Schizosaccharomyces pombe: one gene and its partners. The gene in region 3 interacts genetically with the main gene of each other region. Each region holds a gene or a part of one and is shown on either strand. Other genes may lie near its edges.

Evidence for each region.
Region 1: of etd1 (region 3) and rgf1, extra expression of one rescues a mutant of the other (dosage rescue), as found in Schizosaccharomyces pombe (one study listed by BioGRID).
Region 2: of etd1 (region 3) and rga1, a mutation in one rescues a mutant of the other (synthetic rescue), as found in Schizosaccharomyces pombe (one study listed by BioGRID).

What each region holds. Positions count from the first base shown.
Region 1 is NC_003421.2:1,243,172-1,246,927, forward strand, and holds the start of rgf1 (RhoGEF family guanine nucleotide exchange factor Rgf1), read left to right. Parts: upstream 1-2,014; 5' UTR 2,015-2,091; coding exon 2,092-3,756. Other genes in the region: RhoGEF for Rho1, Rgf3, read right to left, coding at 1-41. UniProt on the Schizosaccharomyces pombe protein: Stimulates the exchange of Rho1 and Rho5 GDP-bound form into GTP-bound form. Controls septum formation, cell wall synthesis and localization of F-actin patches. Coordinates actin deposition with cell wall biosynthesis during bipolar growth.
Region 2 is NC_003423.3:4,194,186-4,197,941, reverse strand, and holds the start of rga1 (Rho-type GTPase-activating protein Rga1), read right to left. Parts: upstream 1,896-3,756; 5' UTR 1,648-1,895; coding exon 1-1,647. UniProt on the Schizosaccharomyces pombe protein: GTPase-activating protein for Rho1. Involved in the F-actin patch localization, cell morphogenesis, regulation of septation, and cell wall synthesis.
Region 3 is NC_003424.3:5,085,962-5,089,717, forward strand, and holds etd1 (Spg1-binding protein Etd1), read left to right. Parts: upstream 1-2,017; 5' UTR 2,018-2,127; coding exon 2,128-3,037; exon of another isoform or gene 3,038-3,099; coding exon 3,100-3,365; 3' UTR 3,366-3,677; downstream 3,678-3,756. Other genes in the region: translation initiation factor eIF4A Tif1, read left to right, coding at 1-780. UniProt on the Schizosaccharomyces pombe protein: Involved in septation.

The DNA of each region.
Region 1 (3,756 bases), on a different chromosome or scaffold from region 3:
TCTTTCGAGCTCCGATGAAAAAGTTCATTGGAGAGCTTCATAAAAGAAAAAGTGGTAGGGGGAACCACAATCACCAAAAATGACTAGGTCAAAAAAGAACTACAATAATATTTGAAGAATCAAGGCAAGCTAAGGCCAAATAGGAGTCAATTTCAATTGCAATCCAAGAAAGAGAAAGGTCAAAACTAAATGTTGCAGGATGGACAGTGCAACAAAAGAGAAAAGAGAGGTGAAAAAAGATAGAAAAAGGAATTGAGAAAGAAGAGTATAAAAAAAAAGAAAGAAATGCGAAGAGAAATTAATAAATGGAATAAAATAAGGGAAAATAAATTAAAATAGAACAAATTCAGTGTCAATGGAATTCAAAAAATGCAAACCAATCTCGTACGCCCTCAAAAAAAGCAATTTTATAGTAAGCCGGAATGAAAACGATTGATGCTTTCAAAGTTATGCGATGAACCAGAGAAACTCCCGTCCTCTATTAATAAAAGACTTTGACATAAAATTACGAATACAGAAAGAAAGAAAAAAAGAAAGAAAGAATTGTATCGCAATATCAATGCAACAGTCTGTTTATTCGGTTTGTGATGCCACAATAAAAGGGTTAGGGCGGAAGGAATAATATAGGATGATCTGATTGAAACAACCCAAAAAGGAAAGAAAGCTCCCAAGCGTTTCAGAGGAATCAAGTTTCGTAGGTTTATAGACAGAGAAAGAGAGAAAGCAAAAGCAGTATATTATGAAAGGTAATGACTTGATCAAAAAAACAACCTCTTCTAATGAAACGTTTGGGATAAATCAAAATCGATGCCTAAGAAAAGATTATAGGACTTTATGGTTTTTAAATATATGTGTAAATGTTAAATAACTTATAACCCACCACCAAGGGATCTTCGTGGACGGCGAGCGGAGTGGATAAGAAAATGGCTGGTTGTATGTTCGCGACGGAAGAACAAAATTGGTCTTTGACTAGCAAATTTTCCAAATTTAGATTACATGATTTAAACGATAAATAGGGCAAATAAAGTGTACAAAAAGATATTTGATCAATTTATATGATGTTGAGCACAAGCTGAATAGTAAACAATGCGAACGCAATTAAAATAAAATAAGTCAATACAGCATAGTCATAGAAATCGATCAATTGAGGTTATCCGGATTAAAGCTAATTATTTTAGATGATGTTTTTCATATTTGTAAATCGGTAATACAATTATGAGCTGGTCGGACAGAAAAAGTGAGCACATAAATTGCAGCAAGTAGAAAAGCAATAGGCAATATAAAGTAAAGGAGTTCATTCATGACTTCCCTTTTTATATAAGCGTTTTTTTTTTTAGTGGAAAGTCGACCAGGATGCAGTTGAATGTTGATATTAACTTTGTTAGGACTAGTGAAAATTCAGATTTGTACTTTTTTTTTAAGGAGTTCAAGACTTTTTTACTACATATTCAACATTGAAATCACCTTATCTATAGAAGAAGTAGATAAACTTAGCCCAAAACAGCATACTGATGACTTATAGCTTCTCATCCCTTCATAATATTAATGCGGTTTACTGCTGCTGTAACAATTCTTCTGATATATTAAGTATACGTATTTTTCCCTTCGAGGATAATCTTTTCTTAATATACCTGTTGCTCTCTCAAATTGCTAAGCAGACAAGTAAACAAATCAATTGTTTCATTGAACGAACCAGGACGGCTATATAAACTTATTATTATAATTTAAATCAAATTTTAAACATTCAACTCTGGAAACACTAACAAAAGCCTTTTTTTATGTCGCCTTTTAGCATGTGTTTCGAGTGGAAACCCTCCATGCAAAAGAAATTGAAGGTGAAAGCAATATACTAAAGCAAAACATTAATTCATCAAGCAATACGCAATTTACATATTAATGGTCTTTGATTTAGAAAATCGTATAAATTAGAATTTTTCATCATCTTACCGTTATAACGAGTTCGTAGCTACTTTCGCAGAAAGTTTGTGGTCAAATTATCTTGTCTTTTTCTCCACCACCAAACCCTCGTTTTCACGGGAAACATTCAGCATTGTCGATTCGATCGTCAAACTGATTGTTTTTATAGTAGCAATGGATTACCGGCATCCAAATGCACTCGGTGTGAATGAGAGCTCGCGTGCTTATGAGGAAATTTTTGGTGCTCCAAGAAAACGGGAGCCGGCGAGAACTGTAAGTACTCCTGCGTTCATGGAACCGGCTCCAGTCTCAAAAAAACCTCTTCCTCCTCCCACGCGAAGGCTTCCTCGGAAACCTTTGCCCTTTCGTTCCACGAGTTTGCAGCCTCCATCGTCTCAACCTCCTGCACCTCCAACTCATCAGAGAGAAGCATCTCCTGTGAAAAATATTGAGCACAGTGAATCTTTTCCTTCCGTTTTTGGTACTTCAAATAATCACCAGATCGTCCCATTGACTCTTAAAGACGGAAATGATTTTGGTGCTCTATATGCATCTTTAAACACCACACCCCATTTTCCTCAGGTATCGAATCATGCGCCCAATAACTCTAATTCCCCTTCTTTGACTTGGCACACATCATCCGGTGATGATTCCAACCAAAATCCTTTTTTCGTTCGGCGTCAGTCTCAGAGTAGCACGTCTCCGGTTTCGGATTCAGTAGATGAGAACCTCCTTTCAGCAGTCTCTTCTGTTACAGAGTCCGTAGAAACAAACCTTCATCTCGATCAAAATTATCCTTACGGCTCTCCTGTTCGTTCGTCTAAAAATCCCTTTCTCTCTTCAAATTCTCGATTACCAACTGATGATTCTTCTCACACTGTTGGTTCTCATTCATTTACTTCAGGAACTCACCCACCCATTGTTTCTTCTAATTCCGCCTTTACACTTCCCAATGCTGTTACTCCTGCAGCTCAAGCACCTCTCATACGTAGTGTTAGTGAATATCCTGCTAACGTTTCTCCACCTGCCCAGTCCCTTCAGCTACCAAAATCTACTAGCAATCCCGCGGATCTTCATTTAAGCATAGCTTCTGCTAGCAGCCATAAGAATATTTTTTCTGGGTTGGACGTCTTTTCTAATGTCTTTCATGGTCCCTCTACCACATTACGAGACAGAGAACATGATATGCGAAATCGCTCATTTGATCATTCTACCTTGGCTCATTATGAAGCAGTTAAGCAGCAGAGACTTGGTGTTGAACCTACTGCAAGGTCCTTTACGTTGAGCTCTTATAAGTCCCGTGCAAGTGGAAATTCCCTAATTAATGATCGAAGCTCTACAACAACGCCGACGTTTGTTAATTCGGAAGCTAGCTCGCCTGTTCATAAAAATAAACGAAGACGCAGAATATATGCTGCCTTACTTTCTCGTGTTGCCAGCGAATTGTTAGATAGACTACAGCTAGGTGATATCACGAAAGACGGTTTAATTTATTCTAATGCCTTTACTGGCGATCATGCAGTCACCGTGCTAATGGGTATTATACATACTTCTGATAGAAATCTCGCTTTACTTGTCGGACGCTCTTTAGATGCACAAAAATTTATTCATGATGTTACCTATGATCATCGTCTTCGTGATTCTCATCGTGAAATATATCAGCTTCAAGGTACTGGTTATCGCCCCTTCTTACGCGCAAATGATAATGCATCCATTAACAACAAAAACCATCATAAGGAATTGGAGGACAATGAGTCGGGCACTCGAATCTCACCGTCCACGTTAGGTGACACTTCTTTTCCAAATGGTATATTTACTTTATTGACGCATTGTTACTCT
Region 2 (3,756 bases), on a different chromosome or scaffold from region 3:
GTCGTTACTAACGTTGGATGATTCAGTATAACATAAATAACATTCTATTTGTTTCGTTTGGTTGTTCCAGCGCGCCCAATCGTAATTCTCCCGATTGTTGTATTTACATTTAGTACATGACAAACAGCCAATATGGCAGCGAATTTCACCCAGGAGAACACAGTCTTCCTCCAAGGCAGAATGACACACATAGCATAAATCGGAGCTGGCATTGGCCAAATTTAAAGGCATATCAAACGAAGAACTATCATATCCTTCTTGATCGACAAATCGAGCTTCTTCTACGGTCTGTAAAAACTGGGGAAGAGCATGCTTACAAGCATGATCTTGTTCTAGTCGTAAACCTCCCGTAAGCGATATCCGAATAAGTAACTTGAGGTAATGAGCTAAACCGGTAAAGAGTGATAAAAAGTCTTGAACAATAGCAACGTCGCGAATATCCGAATTATGGCATTTAGCAAGTAAAGCAAATATTGAAACTAGCTTCTTGCAAAGCAACTTAGCTTCACGAACATAAGGCATACTTTTAGCATGAAAACTTGAAAGTATAGTTTCTAGCGAATCAATGCCTTTAAAAAGTATCTCGATATAACGAATAAATTTTTGGGCACAAATAACACTTTTTGTGAATTCTCCATTTGAAACAAGGAGAAGCATATCACTGATACACGAAGCTGTATACTCCTCAAAATAAGAGAGTGCATGCCAAATATGAAATATTTTCTGTTCTAAATGTTTTTCCCGTTTGCGTAATTGTGATTGAGAAAGCTCAGAATCCTTCTTTTTAGAAGTTTCTATGGATGTCTTTTGACAAAGTTTAACATTCCAAAACTTGTAGATCATATGACAAGGAACGTGCCAATTTTGAGATACCCCATTTCTGTAAACTTCAACAAATTGCCTTAAAATTGGACCATCACAACCGCAACATCGTGCAGCGAAAAGTGTTGAATAATGATAATGACAATACACTTTGCCCTCATATTCATAGTAAGAATCATTCGGACCAAAAACAGTGTAACATAAGGAACAAGTGAAATGTTCTATATGAAATTTTTTATTCAAAGCTGTAATATAATAACCTCGAAGGGCCATTCCACAACTTGCACAAAGTAAGTCAAGCCGCCGAAAATAATCTGTTTCACATAAAGGCACTTGCTTGTTAAGAGTGGGATCATCAATAGGAAAAAATTTTGAAGCAACTAAAGAATTACAATCATGGCATCGAAAACATTCTAAGTGATATATATTTCCAAGAGCACGTACATATTGTCCGGATATAACTTGTCCACATGAAGCACATATCTTTGATGAAGAAACTTTCCTTACAGCCTTAGGAAATACAGAAGTATCTGATCGCTTTAGACTTTGCTGCTCCTCTTTATTAAGCAAACCAGATTGGGCTAATTGTTGCTGATTAGGCAACGCTTTTCGAGACTCAGCAGAGGTATGCCTCCGAGAAAGTGAGCTGCCACCCTCAGTACCAGCAACAGTGCTTGTATGTCGAGAATGGGGGAAATTCTTCGTTGTAGAATTCTCTTCTATCTTATTTTGACGGGAAGGAACAGGAATTCGTTTCGGTGGTGTTGGTGATACACCATTCGTTGTGTACAGCAACCCATCTTTTTTGGCGTCCCTTTGGGACATACTGTCCTTGCTGTTTGAACGAACCTTAGCTTCTATATTAAACGCCTTTATCACTTAATAAACCAGTATGACTAGTTAATCCTCTTTGGGATATTTCCGTTCGAAAATCACCCCCAAGAAAACCTTATGGGACTCAATTCCTTCAGTTTTTAAAAGAGTGAAATTAATAATATGTAAGACCTCAAATAACTAAGCCTATAGCTTTTGAAGCTATTTTTTTTCAGAGACTAACTATTGTTGCGGTATGTTGGTGGTTGTTGGTCCGACTTCCACCTAAGAGGAGACTGCACACCATGGAATCCAAGTCAGAAATGCTAAACTCCAGCTTGATATAGGGGCCAAAATAGACCCTAATTTTTATAGCGACTAAGACATGAAGTCATTTGGGAAACCGATTTCAGTACACACCCCGAAAATGACTTTAGATCTTCGTTTAGAGAATAATCTGTATTTTTGTTTTATCTCTCTTTAATGCTACACTTTATGCTCCTTTTGGATAGTTATTCTTAGGTGTAGGTTTAGGCACTGAATTTTACAACGACTATTATACTAGAGCTGCTCGCTGCTCATGCTAAGGCTTTTACACATTTACGAAGTCTATGTTATAACAAGAGTCCTTATAGATGTTTGAAATTATCATAGACAATATGAGTGACTTTGATTTTAACTACCTGTTCAAGTTTCCCAAAAAGTATTTAAGTACTTTCCCACTGTGTTTCCCAGACTACGTACGTCTTGCAAGTTCAGTAGGGTTGAATTCAGATAAAATAAATGGAGTTTATAAAAACTCAAATCACTTAATACATTATCTTAAAAATACATGCAGAATTTTTTATTTTTATTTCTGACAGTTGCTTCTATACTGAATTATCATAATATAACGATTATTTTTTTATGAGAAAAAGGAAACCAAAGGCATTCGAGCATTTTTGAGTAGTTTCATAACTGCTTTTTGTTTTGCTTAACTTGCATCATTTTGGCTTCTTCACAGACTGAACGCTAAGGTCCTATGTTGTGCTAATTCAGAGTTTACATCTTCTTTTACGACCCTTAGTTGCACAAACTTCCACACAATTGATTCGAATTCTGAATCCTTATTCGATTTGTTGCTTGAAGCTACTTTCGTCTGTAAAAAGTTGTGTATTATTATACTAACAATGGACCTCAAATCCTTTACAGCTTCAAAACTACTATTCGTCACTGAGTCATGAGCAAATTTCGTTAAAAAACTACGGGTATTTATTATCTCAGAAGAAATAGTTTACGAATTCATGAAGTAGATCAGCTTTATGAGTTACCGCGGTTAATAAGTTAAAGGATTAGCACTTAAGAAAAATCAAAGAGAAAATGAGCATTAATTTATGTAAGAAAATAATCAGAAATGATCAATTGTGATGGTTTGAGCAATAACAAGTGAAGGTTGTAAATTCAGTAAACAAACAATAGATATCTGTTCCAAGAGGTTAATCGAAACGGTTACTTACAAAAGATTTGTGGGTAAAGGCCTTTGATAAATGTATTAAAGTCGAATAATCATCATAAGCATTTATATTTCATGTAATGCAACAGAAAATTTTTTTATCTAAAAAATGAGAAGGAAATAAAGAAAAATAAAGAAGAAGCATAGAATGAAATGAACCACACTTTTATTGTTGTTAAATTACTTACAAAGAAAAAATGTCGTGCGCGTTATATATTGCAATCGTTTGTGGACTACTGGAATCCTTTTGAATTAATTCAATTGTAGGCATAACTTTTTTAATGGTTTATATAAATACGTAAAAGTGTTTAAATGAAAGATTGATGATGCTGCTTTTCATGCACCGCGTCGAAACGCCTGACCATTTAACAATCACAAGTCAACAGTATGATTTCAAGAAGCACTTTAACAATTTACCAAAATACTTATTTTAAAATTGAATATAATATTACTGATCTGGAACGTTGCAGGACACTAGGTGGTTGATTTGTTTACAGTTCGTGAACCACCTTTATATAATTATAAAATTTATCCTTTGCCCCAAAATATAATAATGCACAGTTTACAGTATTTTAGTGTGAGTACTCACAATATTAACTTTTTATCATATACCAAACATTTTCTTCCAG
Region 3 (3,756 bases):
TTGCAAGCTGGTGTTCACGTTGTTGTTGGTACACCAGGTCGTGTTCACGACATGATTCAACGTCGTGCTCTTCCTACCGATGCCGTCCAAATGTTTGTTCTTGATGAGGCTGATGAAATGTTGTCCCGTGGTTTCAAGGACCAAATTTACGACATTTTCCAACTTTTGCCTCCTACTGCTCAAGTTGTTCTTCTTTCTGCCACCATGCCTCAAGATGTTTTGGAAGTCACCACCAAATTTATGCGTGATCCCATTCGTATCCTTGTTAAGAAAGATGAGCTTACCTTGGAAGGTATCAAGCAATTCTATGTTGCCGTTGAAAAGGAAGAGTGGAAGCTTGACACTCTTTGCGATCTTTATGAAACCGTCACTGTTACTCAAGCCGTTATTTTCTGTAATACCCGTAGAAAGGTCGATTGGCTTACCGAGCAGCTCACTGAGCGTGATTTTACCGTCTCCTCCATGCACGGTGATATGGACCAAGCTCAACGTGATACTTTGATGCATGAGTTCCGTACTGGTTCTTCTCGTATTCTTATCACCACCGATCTTCTTGCTCGTGGTATCGATGTCCAACAAGTCTCCTTGGTTATCAACTATGACTTACCTGCTAACAGAGAAAACTACATTCACCGTATTGGTCGTGGTGGTCGTTTCGGTCGTAAGGGTGTTTCCATTAACTTTGTTACCAACGACGATGTTCGCATGATGCGTGAGATTGAACAATTCTACAATACACACATTGAGGAAATGCCTATGAACATTGCTGACTTGATTTAAAAAATACAAAAGTCCTTTCTTCTCTTTGTTCTAGATATGGAACGCTCCGTGATTGCTCTTCTCGCAACCCGGCAAACCTCCCGCAACTTAATTTATCTGCTTTTCTTTGCCCATGTTTTTAATGCTTCTTTTATCTGTGCCGGTTGATAGCTGCTCACCATATGGTTTTTTGTGAGTCGTGTTAGTGTTTGCTGAGAAAGGATTTTTTTTTTCGGCTACGCTGTTTATTCATTAGGTCACAAAATAAAAGGCTGGATTTGGTTGATTTACATATATTTACTCTTCTTTTGAGCCTCGTGTAGCTGTTCTGTGATTACTTTTATAAATGTGTTGTAGTTTGGTTAGAAGGTTTGTCGTTTTTTTGTTTTTTGGTAAAACTAAATGAGTGAATAGAGGATGTCAATCTGTATTTTGGATTGAACTTTTATTTACTGCGTATACCTTTGTGGAATTAATTTTTTTGCTCAGAGCTAACGTATTTGTGTTAACCGTAACTGTCCAGTCGTACTTTTGTAAGGAATTAGGAAGTTCCTTTTGCTAAAAGTTAAATGGTCTGTAGTAATAAACAATTCTGCTAGGTAAAAGTTATTATTAATCATTGATCCATTAACCTATTATATTCGCTATGTTTATATTAACTGTGAGATTAAAGGTTGCATCACTTTACGCTCTCAAAAACGTAGCTTTAAACTGCAAACATTATTTGACTAGTTTTAAAGAGTTTGACTTTTAAGTCAATGTAATGAAAGAAAAGAAGAAAACAATGTTTTCCCTGCATCAACAGAGTTAGTTGAAGAGTTTATCGTAAGCAAGTAAAGAAAGTTGAAAGGCGTATAGCAACTTTTGATGCTAACATTGTGCTCATGAACGAGCAGTGGCTTTGAATCTTTGTAGAGTCATTCATCTTTTCAGTTTTTGGCTAACTTATTTATTTTAAGTTGAACATTTTTAATGAATAAAACTTGTAATAGACAGTCTTTTCCATTTCCTAGTCTATCTCTGCTAGCATTCCATCTTTACAAAGCCCTATTTAACGTAACCACGATTAACGCGTTATAAAGTATTTATCAGAATTATATAGCGCTTAAACAACATAACGAATTGCGTTCTTTGATGTTATAGAACTTTGTATTTCCTTATAAATCATTTACAGATTCATGTTCAAAATTCGTTATGTCGTTCTCATGACGACCGTTTGTTTACTAACAAAAGCGTGGTCTTGACGAAAGTGCCTTCTACCATTATTTACACACTTGAATGGGTTGACGCGTACAGTCTTTTCTCTACGGCAATAATTCTTTCTTTAATTTAGCTTAAGAGAAATATAGATTTACGAGTATTTCGTCAATGGGAGTTGTATACGGCAGTCAACAAAATTTAAGTGAATATTTCTATTCTTCTGTCAATATGGCAGAGGTTCCAGATACTTTCGAAGAGAATAGGGGTCATTCTTTTGAAGGTGTGACTCTACAACGAAGGCATGTGAAAGGCATGAAAAGTTATGGTTCAGATATTACACCGAGGCGCCCTAAACAGCTTGGATTACCGAAAGAAGTTAACACCTCCGAATGCATAGATCAAGGCTCATGGAGGAAACCCTCAGCATTTGAAAGCTTAAGAAGTTACTCCCGAAAATTTTCTAAACGAATTTTTTCATTCATAGGAGTTGAGTCAAAAAGTACTGTACAACGCAACGCTTCAGGTGCAGACAGTACGTCGTTGTCTCACTTTACGGCGAATGAGATAAACAAAGGCAACTGTAAAAAAACTGCGTTAAGTAATGAATTTAATTCGGCCAATAAAGGGAGCAAGGCTAGTGGTGTAGGTGCTGAACTACCTTCAGTTAATGGATTTATTGAAGGTGAGCTTCATGATGATAATGAGACAGATTCCTTTCGGATAAATGAATTAGCTAAGCAAATCCAAGAAACTTCTTTGGGTGCGACTACGCAAGAAGATGAGAGTTCGGATGGTATTTGCTGGGACGAGTTATCGACTACTTCGCCAGAGTCGTCGAAAGTGTCGGAACCTATCATTCAAGACAATACGCAAACGACTCATATAAATAACGATTCATCGGATATTCGATTTTCATCTCGTTGCGATTTATTTGCGGACGATGCGGATTCAGATTGGGAGCAGGACTTTAATGTGAAATTCGATAGTCCATTGATAATTCCCGAAACGGTAAACAGTGCAGGACACACCGTTCGAGAACAGCTTTTTGAGGTGAAGGAATTTACGAGATCCATCAAAGGTAAGACATTCATGTGTTGTAATGCTTTAGTTTTAACCGCTGCTAACTAAAAACACAAATAGACTTAAAAGATCTTTACGAAAAGGCAAATTCCAAAGATATTTACGACAAGGACTCAGAGATTTTAGGAGAGGCTAAGGCTATTCTACGGTTAGCGGATCCTGCAAATTATTCTGATTTAAAGGATGAGGACGCGCAAAACATTTTATCAAAATATAAAGTTAAGTTGGAAGGGGATTCTTCATTAGATTTCGATGCGTCCATGCTACCAGGGCTAAACGATCATGTGCATTATTTAATGTCCCAACTCCAACTATTATTACACTGAGTTTCTCTTTTTGGCTATTTAATCCATTAATGGAATGGGAAGTATCTATTTTGTTATCCAAAGTGTCAAAATTTCGCTTAGGATAATTTCAATAATTGTGAGAACAGTTTCGCATTGGTGGATAGCAAGTAAAGGTGAAACTGGCCATTACAACCTTTTTATACTTCTGCATCTTAAGAAGCTTTTGGTTTTATTGTAAATTTCTTTCGTTTTCTCTTTTTAATAAATCTATTTTGCAATAATATTTCGGAAAAAGTACTAGACAGATGTTTTGTCTTTTGTGAATATTAGTCCAACCTTTATTCTGTGATAAAAAGATTTTATTAAATTAAAGTAAAAGAATGTAAATCAAAAATACCTGAAAACCCATATCTATGATTTTGCTATTTAG